2 linked regions of the Stegostoma tigrinum genome follow. The protein of the gene in region 2 interacts with the protein of the main gene of each other region in a biochemical or structural test. Links are inferred from orthologs where the notes say so. Each region holds a gene or a part of one and is shown on either strand. Other genes may lie near its edges. The genes, in order: ilk and fermt2.

The links.
Region 1: the proteins of fermt2 (region 2) and ilk form a complex in vitro, tested with the Homo sapiens proteins (2 studies listed by BioGRID). The link is inferred for Stegostoma tigrinum from reciprocal best matches to the Homo sapiens genes FERMT2 and ILK.

The regions. Positions count from the first base shown.
Region 1 is NC_081359.1:113,378,432-113,388,100, forward strand, and holds the start of ilk (integrin-linked protein kinase), read right to left. Parts: upstream 4,532-9,669; 5' UTR 4,519-4,531; coding exon 4,423-4,518; intron 1-4,422. UniProt on the Homo sapiens protein: Scaffold protein which mediates protein-protein interactions during a range of cellular events including focal adhesion assembly, cell adhesion and cell migration.
Region 2 is NC_081363.1:46,420,741-46,431,144, forward strand, and holds the start of fermt2 (fermitin family homolog 2), read right to left. Parts: upstream 4,537-10,404; 5' UTR 4,197-4,536; intron 4,155-4,196; exon of another isoform or gene 4,043-4,154; intron 3,732-4,042; exon of another isoform or gene 3,714-3,731; intron 3,619-3,713; exon of another isoform or gene 3,599-3,618; intron 3,429-3,598; exon of another isoform or gene 3,409-3,428; intron 3,279-3,408; 5' UTR 3,272-3,278; coding exon 3,115-3,271; intron 1-3,114. UniProt on the Homo sapiens protein: Scaffolding protein that enhances integrin activation mediated by TLN1 and/or TLN2, but activates integrins only weakly by itself. Binds to membranes enriched in phosphoinositides.

The sequences.
Region 1 (9,669 bases), on a different chromosome or scaffold from region 2:
TTGCATAAATATCCAAATCGGTTATCCATCTTGGATTAAAAAGCAGATAGATCAGGATATTTTCTAGATGGTATAAATTAAATATATAGTCGATGCCTGAAGAAATTTTGCGTTTCACGTGTATATATCTGTTAAATACCACAGAAAATCATCAAGAAAGCTCAAGCAATGTTGGCCTTTATAATCTAGAGGATGCAGAAGTTATGCTGCAGTTATACAAAAGCCTGGTTAGACCCCACTTGGTTTACTGTGAGCAAATCTGGGCACCAGACCTTAAGAAGGATATATTGGCCTGAAGTGAGTACAACTTCGGTTTACAAGAATAGACTTCAGGGGTTAAGTTATCAGGAGCAATTATACAAATTAAATCTGTTTCCTTTAGAATTTAGAAAGTTAAGGGACAATCTGATAGAAGTCTTTAACAGGAAAAGACAGACTAGATGAAGATAAACTATTTCTGGTTGCAGACTGTAGAATTAGGAGGCCTCGTATGAGAATCAGGGCCAGACCATTCATGAGAGATGTTAGAAAGCACTTCTACAAACAAAGGGTGGCAGAGATTTGGAACTTTCTTCCATAAATTGTAGTTGATAGGAGATCAGTTAATTTTAAATCAGAGATAGGCAGTTTTTTGTTGAACAACAGTATTAAGGGTTATGGCACATAAAGACAGGCATATGGAGTTAAGTCACAGATCTCACTAAATGGCAGATCAAGCTTGAGAACCCGAGGTAACAAAGTGTGGGGCTGGATGAACACAGCAGGCCAAGCAGCATCTCAGGAGCACAAAAGCTGAAGTTTCGGGCCTAGACTCTTCATCAGAAAAGTTTTCTCCAGCATCTGCAGTTCCCATTATCTCTAAGCTTCAGAGCCCGACTGGTCTGCTTTGTTCCTGCGTAAATTGCCATACAGGGAGGGAGCGCATATCAAGACACTAACAGGTTGCACAATGATCTGGTTCAAAATCAACCCTAACATGTGGGAAACTCTGGCTGATGACTAATGTAAACAAAAACACCAGGTGTCATCTCAACCACCACGATTTCAGACACTCCAAAACAGTCACCAATCTTGCTAACAAAGCATCAGCAGGCATCCTCCTGCACCACGAGCAAGGGACAACTTTATGGGCAGCACTTATGACAGATGTTGCCTCTTTCTATAATAGGCGGTAATTGGCTGAGGTACTGCCATTGAGAAGGTAACAGGGAACTAGAGGCTCCCAGCTCCGGGGCAATTTAAAAAGGACACACAGCTTGAGCACATTTCTGTTCTTTGCACAGGATGAGTCCATGCGAAAATATGCGCATGTCGTTTCTAGGAAGCGGAACGAATCATGTTCTGAGCTTGCTTATATTTAAATAATGAAGATATTCGGGCAGAGATAGTAGGAACTGCAGATGCTGGAGAATCCGAGATAACAAGGTGCAGAGCTGGATGAATACAGCAGGCCAAGCAACATCAGGAGGAGCAGGAAGGATGACGTTTCGGGCCTAGGCCTTTCTTCAGAAAGGTCCTTTTTCTGAAGAAGGCCCTAGGCTTGAAATGTCAGCCTTACTGCATTTAATGCCCTTGGTAGCAAAGAATCAGCCACATTATTGGTCTGGAGCCAGACATAGGCCTGACCTGGTAAATACAGCAATTTCCTTCCCAAAAAGACACTGAATGAAACAATCAAAATTCCTGAGGAATATGGCTTATGTGCCTGGGATACATGACATTGCTGAATTACGTGGAAGATTTCAAACTTATCTGATGGTAGCAACCTTTAATGGAACATACAACTTGCATGGCCACTGTAAAACAGCAGTATAAAACGAGTTTTCTGAAGAAGGGTCTAGGTCCGCTACATCAGCCTTCCCGCTCCTCTGATGCTGCTCGGCCTGCTGTGTTCATCCAGCTCTACACCTTGTTATCTCAGATTCTCCAGCATCTGCAGTTCCTACTATTTCTGTATAAAACAATTGATCTGTTGTCCAACCCAGGCATTTGGGGAGCCTCAGTGAGTACAGGACAGCTTTAGTACAAATATAGGCAGTGCAGTATATTGTCAGCACATTTTTGTTCATATATATTGTTACCATTGTTTAAAACTTGTCCTTGTGTTTGGCCTGAGAGCAAAGCGAAAAGATCAGACAAAATATTATATAATGCAAAACTATATTATGCAAAATACTGCAGAAAACAGAAACAGAAACTGAAGAAACTCAACAGGCTGGGCAGAATCTGTGGGCAAACAGTTAAAGCTTCGAGTCTAGTATGACTTCTTCAGTTCTGAAAAGAGTTGGAAAATATCCTTCTTTATGCTGTTGACAGAGGCAGAATCCCAGTGTAAAAAAGTTGCTCATGATGGAGAGAGATTTAAATTGATTGTAAATTAAGGTTTGAAAGAGAGAAAACGATCCTCTCTACTAAGAGCAAAGCAAACAAGACAAGAGAATGAACAACATATCTTTCTTTTCAGCAAAATTCAGATTCCCTTTTATTTACGTCACAGCATCAAAAAACTGATCAATTTGTCAAACAGGATTTCCCCTTTCACAGAAGCATACTGACTCGATATAACTGAGTTATACTTTCCTAAGTACATTGTTAAGACTTCCTTTGCACACATCATTCTGAATTGGTACTGTATCACCATTCCTTCACTGTCACAGGTTCAAAATACTGCGTTCCAAACAGCATCGTGAGTGGTCCCAGACCCCAAGGACTATAGCAATACAAGAAGGCAGATCAATACCATCTCTGTGGCTATTACAGATGGACAATAAATGCATATAAAGGAACAAAAATGGTGCGCTGTTTTGAATTTTAGCAGAAATTTCATACCGATTAAAGTTTAATGGCAAAAACACAAAGACCTCAATCAATGAAAATACTTATAAAACATAAACAATGGACTACATCACTATCAAGGAAACCAGAGAAAGCCCAATCCAATAAATATCCCCATACCTCCGAAGCTCAGTGCCTCTTCAGCCCAACTACTCCAAGGCTCAGTACCCCCACCCCCTCAGGTTCAATGGCCCTCACACTCTGAATCATTCATCTAGCCTGGCAAGGCTCAGTGCCTACCCCCCACCTCGCCCAACTCGCAGGCTGGATGCTGTCAAACCCCCAATCCCTGCTTCAGTGCTCCTTCAGACACCCGACTTTACCCTAAACTTCCCCACACTCAGGCTCCGTGCACCTGATATCTCCTGAGGTATAGTGCCCACACCCACAACTGAAGATCAGTGTCCTCTCATACCTCCATTTCAGGAATTTGACAATCCATTCCATACCCCCAGGCACATTCACTCCCAACATTTGCACACACCTCCACACCCAGAATCAGTGTTCTGATACCCCCGCCCAAGCACATTCACCCCTCGCACTCGCACGTGCCTCCCCATCCCCGATCAGTGTTCCACCTCCCCACCCCTGGGATCAGTGTTTCTCACTCCCTCCTCCACCCAGCACATTCACCCGTCACACTCACAAACACACCTCCCCTGGGATCAGTGTTTCCCACTCCCCCTCCCCAGGGATCAGTGTTTCCCACACCCCCTCCCTGGGATCAGTGTTTCCCACACCCCCCTCCCCAGGGATCAGTGTTTCCCACACCCCCCTCCCCAGGGATCAGTGTTTCCCACACCCCCTCCCCTGGGATCAGTGTTTCCCACTCCCCCTCCCTGGGATCAGTGTTTCCCACACCCCCCTCCCCAGGGATCAGTGTTTCCCACACCCCCCTCCCCAGGGATCAGTGTTTCCCACACCCCCTCCCCAGGGATCAGTGTTTCTCACACCCCCTCCCTGGGATCAGTGTTTCCCACACCCCCTCCCCTGGGATCAGTGTTTCCCACACCCCCCTACCCTGGGATCAGTGTTTCCCACACCCCCCTACCCTGGGATCAGTGTTTCCCACACCCCCTCCCCAGGGATCAGTGTTTCCCACACCCCCCTCCCTGGGATCAGTGTTTCCCACACCCCCTCCCTGGGATCAGTGTTTCCCACTCCCCCTCCCCTGGGATCAGTGTTTCCCACACCCCCCTCCCCAGGGATCAGTGTTTCCCACACCCCCCTCCCTGGGATCAGCGTTTCCCACATCCCCCTCCCCAGGGATCAGTGTTTCCCACACCCCCTCCCTGGGATCAGCGTTTCCCACACCCCCCTCCCCAGGGATCAGTGTTTCCCACACCCCCCTCCACCCAGCACATTCACCCCACACCCCCACCCCCAGGCTGAGTGCCAACTAACTGCCCCACCCCACCCGAGGCTCAATGCCGTCCTGAGCCAAAACTCGGAATCGTGGCGCCGCCTCCCCCCGTTCTTCTGGTTATTCCCTCCCAACCCCGTTGCCCCGGTTACACTCTCCCAAGCCCCGTTACCCAGGTTACGCACTCCACCCAAATCCCGTTGCCTCGGTAACCGGATCCTCACCGTTTCTTTCAGGTTCGCCCCAAAGCGAGGAAACTTTGAGAAGCCGCGCCTGCGCAGCGGTAACGGCACCGCCCGCCGTTTTGGAGAAATGCGCATGCGTATCACCGCCTTCATCGCCTCCTGGTGTCCCGCCCCCATACCCGTTGAAGGTGCACGGCCACGCCCCTGGAACGGGAACCGCCTACCGCAATCCGCCGGTGTACGACTCCGCCCCACGCCCCGCCCCCACGCCCAGGTGAGACGATCCACATCAATTGGTATCAGAGATATTGGGAACTGCAGATGCTGGAGAATCCAAGATAACAAAATGTGAGGCTGGATGAACACAGCAGGCCCAGCAGCATCTCAGGAGCACAAAAGCTGACGTTTCGGGCCTGGACCCTTCATCAGAGAGGGGGATGGGGAGAGGGAACTGGAATAAATAGGGAGAGAGGGGGAGGCGGACCGAAGATGGAGAGTAAAGAAGATAGGTGGAGAGGACAGTATAGGTGGGGAGGTAGAGAGGGGATAGGTCAGTCCAGGGAAGACGGACAGGTCAAGGAGGTGGGATGAGGTTAGTAGGTGGGAAATGGAGGTGTAGCTTGAGGTGGGAGGAGGGGATAGGTGAGAGGAAGAACAGGTTAGGGAGGTGGGGATGAACTGGGCTGGTTTTTGGGATGCAGTGGGGGGTGGGGACAAGCTGGGCTGGTTTTGGGATGCATTGGGGAAGGGGAGATTTTGAAGCTGGTGAAATCCCCATTGATACCATTGGGCTGCAGGGTTCCCAAGCTGAATGTGAGTTGCTGTTCCTGCAACCTTCTGGTGGCATCATTATGGCACTGCAGGAGACCCCCGATTTTGATTTATTGTAGTCACATGTACCTAAGTACAGTGAAAAGCTTTGATTTGCAAGCAGATCGGAGCAAACCAGGACCTACAGATCATAGATAATAAAATGTGAGGCTGGATGAACACAGCAGGCCAAGCAGCATCTCAGGAGCACAAAAGCTGACGTTTCGGGCCTAGACCCTTCATCAGAGCTCTGATGAAGGGTCTAGGCCCGAAACGTCAGCTTTTGTGCTCCTGAGATGCTGCTTGGCCTGCTGTGTTCATCCAGCCTCACATTTTATTATCTTGGAATTCTCCAGCATCTGCAGTTCCCATTATCTCTCTCCTACAGATCATAGGACGCTTAGACAGAGCGAGGCATTAGGTTATGGCTGCAGAGGAGCAAGGTCAACATTAGATTTAAATTAGAGAGATACATTCAGCTGCCTAACAATGCCAGGGAATCACTACTCTACCTCTAATCACCAAGCCATCATCACCCAGACCGTCGACAACTTCATCACCTCGGGAGATTTCCCGTGCATAGTCTCCAGTCTGATAGTTCTCCAACACTGCATTGCCCACTTCTATCTCCTACCCAAATCCTGAAACCCGTCTGCCTGCTCCTGCCCCATTGAGGTCACCTTCACCAACCTCAAATCTGTTCTTTCCCCTTTGGTCCAGGAACTCCCCATCTACATTTAGGACACAACCCACACCTTCCACTTATTTGAAAACTTTCTATTTCCAGCCTTAAACACGTCAATAGACAAGAGGTGCAGGAGCAGGCCATTCGGCCCTTCGAGCCAGCACCACCGTCTTCATTATGGACGTTCAGTCCCTGGATACCTGTATCCCACACAGGGATGGCCAAAAATCCCTCTGCTTCTTTCTCTCCCGTAAGCCCAACCAGTTCCACTCCACTGACACACTCATTCACTTGGTGGAACTGGTCTTTTCCCTCAACAACTTCTCCTTTGATTCCTCCCACTTCCTACAAAACAAAGGGGTGGCCACAGGCACCCACTCAGACCCGAACTATACTTGCCTTTTTGTAAGATTCGTAAAACAGCCCCTCTTCAACAACCATAACCGCTAAATCCCTCAGCTCTTTCTCTGTGATACTGATGACTATCAGTGCTGCCTTGTATGCTTGCAAGCTTGATTAGTACATCAACTCTGCCAACACCTTCCAGCGTACCTTCAAACTCACCTGGACCATTTCTGACATCTCCCTCCCATCTCCATCGCCATCTCAGATAACCGACTCTCCACTGGCATCCACTTCAAACCCAAATGACTCCAACAATTACCTCAAATACACCTCCTCTCAGCTACCCTCCTGCCAAAATGCTATCCTATATTCAATTCCTCTATCGCGGCTCCCAGGGTGAAGTATTCTACTCTCGGACTTCCCGGATATCTTCCTACTTTAGAGATTGTAATTTCCCCTCCTCCGTTATTAAGGAAGTCCTCACTGCATCTCCATTTCCTCACTTCTGCCCTCAACCTTCTCCCCCCACAACAATAAGAATAGAGCCCGCTTAGCCCTCTCATACCACCCCACCAATATCCATATACAATGCATCATCCCCCGACATTTCCAACACCTACTATCAGACACTATCACAAAAAAGATGTTTTTCTTCCCAACCATGTCTGCTTTCCTCAGGGACTACTCACTCACAACTCCCTCATTAGCTCCACACTCCCCACCAACCCCTCCACCACACCTGGTACCTTTCTCTGCAACCACAGGAGGTGCTACACCTGCCCCAACACCTCCCCCCTCAAGTCTGTCCAAGGCCACAAACAATCCTTCCAAATCTGCCACAGATTCGCTTCATCAAACCTCATCTATTGTATTCGGTACTCCCCACGCAGTCCCCTCTATATCGGAGAAACCAAACACAGACTTTCCTGCTCCTCGGATGTTGTCTCACCTGCTGTGCTTTTCCAGCTCCACATTTATTTACTCATGCTTCCAGTGTCTGCAGTCCCTTACCATCTCCATGGCAGGGAGGAAGCTGTTGGTCCATGTGTTCAAGCTTTTGTATTTTCTGCCTAATGGAACAAGTTGGGAGATAGCATTACCAAGTGGGAAGTGTCTTTGATAATGTTAGCAGCCTTTCTGTGGCAGCGAGCCATGTAAATAGAGTCCACGGATGGGATGTTGCCTTCCATGATGGTCTGGGGTGTGCGCATCACTTTCTGTAGTTTCTTATGGTCCTGGGCAACACAGTTGCTATACCAGGCCATTAAATACCTGGATTGTATACTTTCTATGGTGCATCTGTAGAAGTTGCTGAGGGCCCTTACAGACATCTCAAATTTCCCAAGGTGCCTGAGGAGGAAGAGATGTTGAGGAGTCATTAACCTCAAATTCAACAACAATCTGACCGTGACAATGATGCTTTGCAGAGAATAGTGGTTTCTGAGATCAGCCAAAGCAGAATGAGACACAGATGTTAAACTGTGGGAACTATGGGAGAATATATATATAGAGGGCAAAATCTGACAAAAGGCGCCACCTACTTAAAATAGAGATGACAAGGAATTTCTTCTCTCATCTAAACGCGAATCTCTGAATTCTTTATGCACTTGGCTTTAGAGGCTAGGTCATTAGGCATAATCAACAATAAAAAAGACCTTTAATCAGTGATGGACTCAAGGGTTAAATAGAAAAACGAAAAGAACAGTGGATGCTGTAAATCAGGAACATAAACAGAAGTTGCTGGAAAAGCTCAGCAGGTCTGGCTGCATCTAGAGAGGGAAATCAGTTAACTTTTTGGGTCTGGTGATCCTTCTTCAGAAATGGAAACAACAGCGAACACCAGGGAAGCAGCATGGTTCTAACTTCTCTGGTGCCAGGGATATCACAAAGATAGTAGGAACTGCAGATGCTGGAGAATCTGAGATAACAAGGTGTAGAGCTGGATGAACACAGCAGGCCAAGCAGCATCAGAGGAGCAGGAAAGCTGACATTTCGGGTCTAGACCCTTCATCAGAAAAGGGGGAGGGGAAGGGAGTTCTGAAATAAATAGGGAGATGGGGGAGGCAGACAGAAGATAGATAGAGGAGAAGATAAGTGGAGAGGAGACAGACAGGTCAAAGAGGTGGGTAAAGTAAGGAGTTAGGGAGGGGATATGTCAGTCCAGGGAGCGGGATGAGGTTAGTAGGCAGGAAGCGTTGAGGTACGGCTTCAGGTTGGAGGAGGGGATAGTTGGGAGCCCAGCTTGACCCCACCTCCCTAACCTGTTTTTCCTCTCACCTATCCCCTCCTCCCACCTCAATTTCCTACCTACTAACCTCATCCTGCCTCCTTGACGTGTCTGTTCTCCCCGGACTGACCTATCCCCTCCCTACCTCCCCACCTATACTCACCTTTACTGGCTCCATCCCCGCCCCTTTGACTTGTCTGTCTCCTCTCCACCTATCTTCTCCTCTATCCATCTTCAATCCGCCTCCCCCTCTCTCCCTATTTATTTCAGAACAACCTTCCCCTCTCCCATTTCTGACGAAGGGTTTAGGCCCAAAACGTCAGCTTTCCTGCTTGGCCTGCTGTGCTCATTCAGCTCCAAACCTTGTTATCAAAGGGATATCACAAAGATGGTCTGAACATGGTGGCAGCTCATTGAAAATGTGTCAGACACAAACCCCTGAACTCGGATTCTCCAGCATCTGCAGTTCCCATTATCCCTGCATCTGCAGTTCCCATTATCCCTGCATCTGCAGTTCCCATTATCCCTGCCTTCCTGCCACCACTCCTCACTCCCAGCACAGATTGTAATCATCACCTTCGCCAGAGCATGCTGTTGCTCCTCCCGGCCGTAGGGGTCGCTTCTATTACACCTTCCTGTCAGAGAGGGCACCGATGCTGCACCTCCTGGTCGGCGAGGGCGCTGTTGGTACTGGCTTTCCTTTGGGGATGTGGGGTGTGCGCTTCCCGGGCGGTAGGGGCGCAGTTAGCGGCGGGATTCGGTTTAGGCCTGAGGCCTCTCGGTAAGGTGTGAGCGTTGAGCAGCGTGAAGGGGAGCGGGTGAGGCTGCAGTTGATAATTTGTGATGACCTTCCCCCAGGGGTGGGGGGAAATAGTCTTGAATTTGTGTGAAGATTCTGTTTAATTTTACAGTTGTGTTGGGGGGGCGGATTTGTGGTGGCTACAGCTTGAACTCGGTCCACAGGAGGTGGGGAGAGAGTAAGTTAATGGAGCGTGCACCTGGGGCGGAGAAGAGTAGGGTAGGGAGGGTGTAGGGAGGAGGTGTTGGGGGGGGGGAGGGAGAGGAGGGGGGAGGGTGAGAGTGAGCGGTGGGATGGCGGCGGGTGTGAGGGACGGGGGACGGGGTGGGGGAGGGTGTGAGGGACGGGGGACGGGGTGGGGGAGGGTGTGAGGGACGAGGGACGGGGGACGGGGGTGGGGGGAGGGTGTGAGGGACGGGG
Region 2 (10,404 bases):
CTCACCATCTAAACTGTTTTCCTTATTCCAAAATGCATTATAAAACTTTGGGGAAATTTACAACATCCTACACATATTCCTGAAGTATTGGTTGACACATCAGTTTTTAAAGTAAGTAATGTTGAGCATCCTATTTAAAAACTGGTTGCACTACTATTAGCATGCTTAAAATGTCAAAACAAACTAACATAATAATACTCCCACAGCAATGACTTGTTAATCTACTTCTCAACTCCTCAAACACTTTTCCACCATTCTTCTCCAAGCTAATGGATCCTACGTGAACCACAGTTTATAAACTGTTCTCCCACCTAAACCCAGGAAACTTTTCACTAGCCCCATGATATTTTTTAGGCTGGTGTTTGAAATATGAAACAAATTATATGTTCTTATCAAATCCTCTACTATACATCATCCATCAGGTGTAGATTGGGTCAACTAAAAGAACACAGGACTTTACAAGAAAATAATGATGGTTGATAAAATGGCATTCTGGAGACACTCAGGAAATTTCCCAATTTCCAAGGTAAGTATTGTCCCAGACGACAAATTAACTTAATACAGCCTTATCGGAGTGTTTTAGTTCCTAATTATCATTCCTGTGTGACAAATGTCAAGAATATTGTACAAACATAGGATCCCTACAGTGTGGAAACAGGCTATTCGGCCCACTGAGTCCACACCAACCCTCAACAGTATGCTGCCCAGACCATCCATCACCCCGACCCCTACCCTACCCCAGTAACTCTGCATTTCACATGTTGATCTACCTAGCCTGCACATCTCTGAACACTATGGGCAATTTAGCATGGCCAATCTGCCTAACCTGCACATCTTTGGGCTGTGGGACGAAAACAGAGCAAACTCACGCAGACATGGGGAGAATGTGCAAACTCTATACAGACAGTTGAACCTGGTGCTGTGAGGCAGCAGTGCTAACCACTGAGCCACCTGTACAAGTCTAGTCCTTTAAACTGTCTTACATCACCATCTAATTTTGCTGTGGTCATCCCCTTTGATCACATTATCTTTGGTCAACTCTCACATTATGAAAATATGCATTACAGAGAAATATCCAAGTGTTGTACATTATCATCAGTCAGATAGACCTCAAACTCAATGACCCTTCTGAATTGCTATATAAACTCACTCGTCTTGGTCACTAGTTCTGGATAGCTCATCATACATGGCACATGACAGACAAACTCTTTAGCCTTCCATTCTTATCATGAGAGATGCATTGGTCATCTTTATATCTTCTAAGATATGCATCTCCAATCCAAATTGTGTCAATTGCTCATTTGTACTGCTAAAACAAGTTAACTATTTCTACACAGATAAAACCTTTTGACATTCCAGTCCTTCACAGAAAGTGATTTGTGCCTGTTCTTTACAAATGCTTATCTATGATCGTTATTTACATAGTACAAGCACTCCTTAAAGATAAATCAAATAGGTTCTAAAGAGAATAGTTTTCACTGATACCTATGAAGTAAATTTGCCTTAAAGATTTAATCTCTGTTATTCACATCCATCTGCTTCTATTCCAAGTTTTGCAAAATAAAATCATTTGCAATCTAGCCTTGGAAAAACCCATTTTACATAAAAAGAGGCAAATGAATGGTGAAGGAAGCCATTGTGTTTGGAATCCACCACAAACTCCATTCATTTCACATGCAACTCTGAGAATGAGCCAGACTGCAGCGTTGTGGTCACATCTAACCCAGAGATGATGTTCCAACCACACATTCTTGGCAGTAGATCTATTTTCATCTCCGTAACACCTCAACTCCTCACCTGCATCAGCTCACTTGCTGCTAAAAACTGATCGATGGCATTATGACATCTAGACAATGACTGCTTCAACTACATGGTGGCTGGCCTCCCACATACCCTCCAGAAAACACAGGCTATACATTTTGCCACGTGCATCTTGACATATGCAGTTCTGTTCACCCATTACTCTTGTCGGCACTGATCTATAACATCCAGGCAAGCAATACTTCTATTTAAAATTGGCATTATTTTAATTCTCTTCCTTGTTTTCAATCTATGGCCTCACCAATCTCCTCCAGCCCTGCAACTTTCCAAAATACCGGTATTCATCTAATTCAGGTCTCTTCAGCATCCAATTTTAAACTGCTCCATCGTTAGTGCCTGGGCATCAGGTGTCAAGGCCCAAGCTGTGGAATTCCCTCCTTATCTCCTTTCTCCCTAAAAATGTACCTATTCAACTAAATCTTTGGCCATCCACCCTATGAGCTCCGAGTCAAATATTCCTTTCTACTACTCTTAAGAACTTAGGGTCACCACATTGTCATGGGCACTACGTAAAGTGTTGATATTTCAAACAAAGCTTCATTAATTAGTCATGATAACTATCTTATGGTTCAGGAACGTAACAGAAAGGCCTGTGGTGAGGAAAAACTGGTTAGAATACTGAAAAGAAACAGAAAACTGTCTGCTTTGAGCTTTAATTGAAGTTAGACCTTGGAACATACACCATAATAGAAAATTAAACACTGAATAATAAAAGCTGTGTCCCTTTCAAACTCCTTGTGATATACCATTAGTTACACAGTTAAGAGTAGAACATATTAATTAAGAATTTAATTTCTCTCTAGCCAGAGTTTTATCTTCCAGTGACGAATGCAGCCTCTGAAAGACATTCACTACTTCAATTCATTGAAGATTAGCGATATTCTTGTGCAAACCTTCATGCTACATCTACTGGTACTTTACAAATTCCTATTCTTTACTTTGGTGGATCGAAGTCTCTGAACCGATTCACGCAACATTGTAGTATCGATCCTGAAACCAATAGACAAAGACGTCTTAAAATAAACATAGGTGTTTATTTGTACGATCAGAAGGAATATCCCAGTGAAGTTCAACATAACTCAGTCCCCACAGCAGTTAGAAAGGAAAACTGGGGTTTGGCATATCATTGCGAAATTCTTTCTCAGCAGAGCCAACGCATCACTCGGTCTAAACTTGAACCCATACATGGCATCGGGTAATCGCGATGTCGAAGCATCCATGCTTTTTGGGCTGGGGAAGGGCGGGAATTAGCAAAAGTAGGCGACGGCACACCCATTAAAATCAGGACTTTACCCAGTTTCTCCACCAGCTTGAGCATCACTCCTCCTATATGCACCTCTCCGGTCACTCGGAGAGAAACATCGCGGTTTAGGTCGGTCACAAGAACATTTAATTCCCACGTCCCATCAGCGTAACAGCCATCCGGCATCCGAATCCCGTCCAACGCCATCTTTTACCTGGGGGGGGGGGGCAGTGAAAGAGTTAAATGAACCAAACGGCAACATTAAACGTTCGGCTGTTGAAAGAAGCGGACGATGTCATTTACTGATATGGTGACAGCACAGCACGAGGTGCAACTACACAGACCTTGCAGCCAATGCACATTGAAAGCAGTAACAGGAGTCACAGTAGATACAAAGATCAAGTCCAATTGACGGTCTTTGCACGTACGAAGTAAGTGCAAGGAGTGGGCCACGCATTTTCCGTTATAGGGCTTCAAATTACAGTTTGATATTCACAGCAGTATTGCAAACTTGTTGAAATCGGTTTTACACACATTTTTCTTTAAAAGTTGCACATTCTTTAGAACAAAACGAGGCTTCACGATTTCTATTGCTCACAGAGTGCGGCGACAAACTTTACAATGACTGATTTATGACCGCGCAACTCACAATCTGAAACGGATTTTTATATTTTAAAAAAAGTAGGCAGGATAGAGAGCAACACGAGCGAGGGAAAGGGGCTTCGAAGACCATCTGCGAGACAATGCAAACCCCCTGGGCGTCTCTTTCCGTTTCTCTCCCACCCCCACCACCTCAACCATCCTCCATCTGAAGCCCCATCGTGTCAGACCCCTCCCCGTCTGTCACTCGATCTACACGGTAAAGGACAGCGCTTCAATGCAAATTCACCCAACCCTCCTCCTCCTCGACGCACACTTTCCTCCACATAAACCATAAAAAAACGACAAAAAAATACAAATTATCAAAGAAAAACTAACCTCCTCCACAGCCGTGCCGGACCACAGTCCACCAGAACTGAATGCAGGCCGGGTTTCTAAACTGTGGCAGAGATGGCGAGGGGTTTAAACTCGGCAGCAGTTATACCCGGGGTTATAATCCGAAAAACAATATTAACATTAAAGCCAAAATTACCTCCGAAGGATCCACTGAAAGTAAACGTTGGCGACAGCCCAGCAATATCGGCGGGGGAAGGGACGGGGGGGGGGGAAGAAAGAGGTTGGGGGGAAAAATACAGTTTAAACAGCTTTCCCACAGGCGCGGAGAAAGAAGAGGGTCCAAGCTGGCGGCCGTTGGATGGACAGTTAATGGAGTCAATCCTGGGATTTTTTTTTTCCGCCCCCTCTGTCTCAGCGTCTTCTCCGAGTCGCCGTAAAATTCAATCTGTCTACGGCGGTCACAGCCCGCTGTCCATGTCTCTGTGTGTGAGTGGCCGTGGAGGGCGGGCAGGCGGTAGTACTAGTACCGCCCCCTCCCTCCCAACCCCTCGGCGGCCACAACGCCCCTCCCCCCGCACTGGGGATCCAGCTCGAGCCCAAGCCGAGCCTCCGCTGCCTTTTATGGAAATGAGGAGAAGCAGCGCCGCACATCCGGGACTCGGGCTCCACATTGATCCCGGAGACCGCATTCCCGTTAGCACTTACGGCCCGTCGTGCGCGGCGAAGCCCCATCGCCACTGTAGGTGCTCGGGAGCCTCACGCACACTTTCACAGCCTCCACCACGAACGTTTTCCACTCCTGCACTTTTTGGTGAAAAAAAATTCCCCATTTCTCTTTCTTCCCCTCCGGTGTCCGGCTCATTATTTGGCGTTGCCGTACGTAGAGCCAACTTTTTGAGCGCACACATGTAATGCAGATGGAATTAACCTAAGCGGGTGTAATTTTGTTCAGCAGGGAGATGTGATGGCCCATTCGATGATATAAATACAGTTTTATGAGCATACCAACGGAGCAGGACTGGCCATTCAGCCCCTTCACCCTATTCCATCTTCCCATAAGATCATGACTGTTCTGATTGTAAACTCAAATTCGCATTCCTGTCTATCCCTGACACTCTTTTGTTTAACACAAATCTATCCACCTCTGCCTTAAAAATATTGAAAGACACTGCTTTCCATCTCTCCATAAAGAATCATCCCAAAATATCACAATCCTCTGAAAAAAGCACCCAATTTCTGCTTAATTGGGTAAACCTTGAGTATTTGTATGTTTACGGATTTTTATTTGAGTAGCATCTTTCACAGAGTAAAACATCCAAAGGTGAGTGACAGGATCATTATCAAATAGAATTTCAAAACATGTCACATCAGGAGAGAGTAGTACAACCAACCAAAAGCTTTATCATAGAAGAAGGTTTTGAGAGTGTCTTGCAAAAGGGAGAGGCAGAGTTTTAGACCTCAACATTTGATGGTACTGCTACCAGTACTGGGGCAATTAAAATCAGAATGCCCAACTAACCAGAGTTAGAGCAACACAATGATTCCAAAACATTGCAGAGATGCAGTGGTGAGGCCAGTTAGGATAGGAATGAAACAGTCAAGTTTAGAAATAACAAATACTATGTACAAGCATAAGTATTTATTCATTAAATTGTATTTACATTAATTCCAAGTTATTCCCTTTTTCATTTTATTGGTTTTCATTACTATTGTGAGGTTCATTCAAATACATCTTTTGGTTTATAATTTTATTGTATTTTTGAGTTTTTCTTTAAATTTATTGTAAATGAAGGGTGTTGTTTGGCCTGTTCTGCCATCTACTTGATAGTAAATCTGTTCTGAAATGGACTCTAAACATTAACTCTGCTTTATTTCCACAGGTGTTGACACTCCTCTCCAGCAATTTCTGTTTTTGTTGCCTTAAATCTGGATGGTTTGATTGTTGGACATCAATAGAGGAGTCCGATTATTTTACTAGGATGAAGATACAAAATACTTGGGTTCAGAAACAAAAGCATCTTTTACTGTAGTCTCTGTAAGTTATCAAGTTTTATTCAGGAGATGTGAACTTTGCTAACAGGGCCAGCATTTATTGCTCATCCTTAGTTGCTGTTGAGAAGGTGGTTATGAGCTGTCTTCCTGAATCTCTACAGTCTATTTTGGGAACATGGTTGGCATGGATTACTTGGATGAAGAGTCTGTTTCCATGCTGTATGAATCTATGACTCTATTTGGTATAAGTATGTTCTCTACTATTAGGGGGAATTCCAGAATTTTGACCCAGCAACAGTGATAGAACAGGGTAATGTTTCTACGTCAGGTTGGTGAATGGCTGGCAGGGAAATTTGCAGCTGGTGACATTTTTATGCGTCTGCAGCCATGACCTTTCTCGAGCAGGGCAGAAATGGCTAGCACGAGGGGTCATAGTTTTAAGCTGGTTGGAGGAAAGTATAGAGGGGATGTCAGAGGCGGGTTCTTTACACAGACAGTTGTGAGAGCATGGAATGCGTTGCCAGCAGCAGTTGTGGAAGCAAGGTCATTGGGGTCATTTAAGAGACTGCTGGACATGCATATGGTCACAGAAATTTGAGGGTGCATACATGAGGATCAATGGTCGGCACAACAGCATTGGCTGAAGGGCCTGTTCTGTGCTGTACTGTTCTATGTTCTATGTTCTATGGTTTAGGTTTCGAAGGTGCTGTCTGAAGAGCCTTGGTGAATTTCTGCAGTGCATCTTGTAGGTTGTACATACTGCTGCTTTTCTGCATTGGTGGTGGAGGGAGTGAATGTTTGAGGACCTAGTGCTAAACAGGTGGGCTTTGTACTGGATGGAATCAAGCTTTGTCAGTGTTGTTGAAGCTGCACTTATCCAGGTACAGTCAGTTCAGCTATAACGCCTTGTTCCAGCAACACAAATTGGCTATAACACAACTCACAAACTTGTGTCGGCTATAGCACAATTCCATTGGTGCACTGAGGAATTTGTGTCAACATCACATGGTTGTTTCACTGGCTTTATCCTGAGCATGCACAATGTTTGTGCCAGAAGAGTCTCCATGCTGGCATTATGCGATCATTTTGCAACTTTGTTGTGAAGCACTTTTTGTGAGAGGTACAAATTCTCCTCACTCTGGATAATGCACCAAGCCATCCTCCCACCATTGGTGAGTTTTCTGAAACATGAAGTGCCTTTTCTATGCCCAAACTTAACCGCTCTCCTTCAACACATGGACCAGGTTGCAATAGCAGCTTTTAAAGCTTATTATTTAAGGTGCACATTTAAGAGGCTGATTGCAGTTACTCAAGGGGATAAGGACAGTGCTGTTCAATTTTGGAAGAGTTTTGATGTCAAGAATGCAAACCTGTGCTGATGTCAGTTAAAACTGCTTGCATGCAGTTTGGCGGATGCTTCTCGTAGATTTTTTTCAAGATTTTAAAAGCTTTGACCTGTCAGAGGAGCTCCTATGAATCAAAGAACATGGTGCTGATCTTGCAAAGCAAGTTGGATTTAAAGAGGTGGAGAGTGAGGATGTTGAAGAGCTGCTTGAGTCCGACTGTGACTTTCCGACTTTCTACGGCTGATCTGCAACAATTTGTCGCTGAGGTGAGGGGGAAGCTGGAGATGAAGAAGTAGTCCAGGATGCGGCACCATGAGAATTGTCCACTTCTGTTTTGACTTCTATCCTGAGGGAAATTGAGAAGCAGTTGCAACGATTAGAGGACAATGATTAGAATGCAGAACAGTAGGGTAGCAGTTTGTGAAGTAAGATCTTATTTGGCACCCTATGAACAGTTTCTTCATGAAAGAAGAAAAAGGGCAAATCAGCAAAAACTGGATGTCTGTCTTTTTTTTAAGTGAACACTCATGAAACAGTCGGAAGAAAATGAATCACAGCCATCCATTTCTGGATTAACTATTTTTCGCCCTAACCCTGCAACCACAATTGTACCTGACGGTGATGATGATGATGATGACGATGACGACCCTTATCACTTGCATTAACAACAAAGCAACCTCAAAACCTCCTCCCCCCATCAAGTCATCTTACAAAGAAACATAGAAGATAGGAGTAGGAGGAGGCCATTCGGTCCTTTGAGCCTGCTCCACCATTCTTCATGATCATGGCTGATCAACTCAACAGCCTAATCCTGCTTTCTCCCCATAACCTTTGATCCCATTTGCTCCAAGTTCTATATCTAGTAACCCCTTGAATGCATTCAATGTTTTGGCATCAACTACACCCCGTGGTAATGAATTTCACAGGCTCAGCACTCTTTGGGGTGAAGAAATGTCTCCTCATCTCCATCTTAAATGGTCTACCCTGAATCCTCATACTGTGACCCCTGGTTCTGGACACACCCACCATCAGAAACATCCTCCCTGCACCTACTATGTCCAGTCCTGTCAGAATTTTATAAGTTCTTATGAGATCCCCCCTCATTTGTCTGAACTCCAGAGGAAACATTTTCTCAAGGTAAGGTGTTAAATTTGCTTTTATTTCATCATTAGATATGAACCAAACATTTATTCAAACTGTTCTATCCTTTGTGTTAGGCTTTTGAGTTTTTTTGAATGATTTTGAGTAATTTTTTTAGGTGGTCTGCCTATAGAGCTGTTTTACCCATAGGCCCTGTCATTACTACAGCGTGATTTTCTATAGTGAGATGTTGCATAGGAATGCATCTATTGCGTTATAGCAGAACTGACTGTGGGTGGGAACTGTTTCATTATATCCCTGCTTTGTGCCTTGTAGATGGTGGACAGGCTTCAGTCAGTGAGGAGTTGAGTTACTTGCTGCAGGATTTCTAGTCTCTTGACCTGATCTTGCAGCCACAGTATTTATGTGGCTGGTCCTGTTCAGTTTCTCGTCAATGATAACACCCAGGATGTTGATAGTGGGGAATTTGGTAATGGTAATGCCTTTGAATATGTAGGATTGATGATTAGACTGTCTGTTGTTGGACATAATCATTTCCTGGCTGTTGTGTAAAACAGATATTAATTGTCACTTTTGAGTCCAAGCTTGAACATTGTCTGGGTCTTCCTGCACTTGAACATGGTCTATTACAGTTTTGGAAGAGTCAGAAATAATCCTGAACATCATGCAATTACCAGCAAACATTCCTTCTCCTGACCTAATAATAGAAGGAAAGCCATTGATGGAGCAACTGAAGATGATTGAGCCTATAACACTACCCTGAGGAACTCCTGTGCTGATCTTCGACCTGTGATGACTGACCTCCTAGCAACCACAACCATCTTCCTTTGTGCGAGATTTAACTCCACCCAATGGAATATTTTCACCCATCCCCCCCAATTTCCATTACCTTGAGTTTTGCTAGGATTCCTTGATGCCATACTCAGTCAAATAGGGCCTGGATGTCAAAGGCAATCAATCTCTCCCCGGCTCTGGTCTTCAGGTCTTTTGTATATATCTGAACCAAGGCTGTGAACATTGAATGTTATGCATTGCAGACCTAGTAAGAATGGCAGATTTCCTGGGTCTGTAGATGATAGTTCAGTGATAGTACCACTGTGACTCTCTCACTATTCATTTAACATCTACTTTTACTTCCAAAATGAAGAGGAGTTGGGATCAAAGCGAGCTGATTAGCAATTCAATTTGGATATAAACTATTCAGATTGCCATAGGATAAAAGGGCAGAGGAAGCCATTTTCAATATCAGGCTAAGGGCTTCCCTCCTAATACAGGATAATTACAGACAGCAATTTTGTCTGCACCTATCAGAGATGCAGAAAGTGGAGATTGAGGAATTCAGTCCTGATCCTGAAGCAGAGAAAATGCTGGCTATATAGGGTGGCACAGTGGCTCAGTGGTTAGCACTGCTGCCTCGCTGCAGTAGGGACCCAGGTTTGATTCTAACCTCAGGTGACTGTCTATGTGGAGTTTGCATGTTCTACCCATGTCTGCATGGATTTCCTCTAGGTACTCCGGTTTCCTCCCACAGCCCAAACATATGCCAGTTAGATGAATTGGCCATGCTAAATTGCACATAGTGTCCGGGGATATGTAAGCTAAATGGATTAGCCAGGGCAAATGCAGGGTTATGGGGATAGAGTAGGGATATGGGTCAGATTGGGATGCTCTTTGGAGGATCGGTATAGACCCAATGGGCAAAATGGCCTCTTTCCACACTGTAGGGATTCAATATTGTTGACCAGACCAGAAACAGATGTGTGAGATCATATTTAGTTGGAAGAATTTGTGATCATTTAAAGAAGGCTGGAAGAGTGGCTTAGCTTGGGAATAGAGAAAAGGAGGAATGGACATCAAAAGGATTCCCATCTGGGAAAGTGATGAGGAAGCAAGCCTTTGGTAGCGACCACTTCCTGTAGGATGAAGTGCCTAATCAAGGGACAGTGTAACATAGAACAGAAGAGA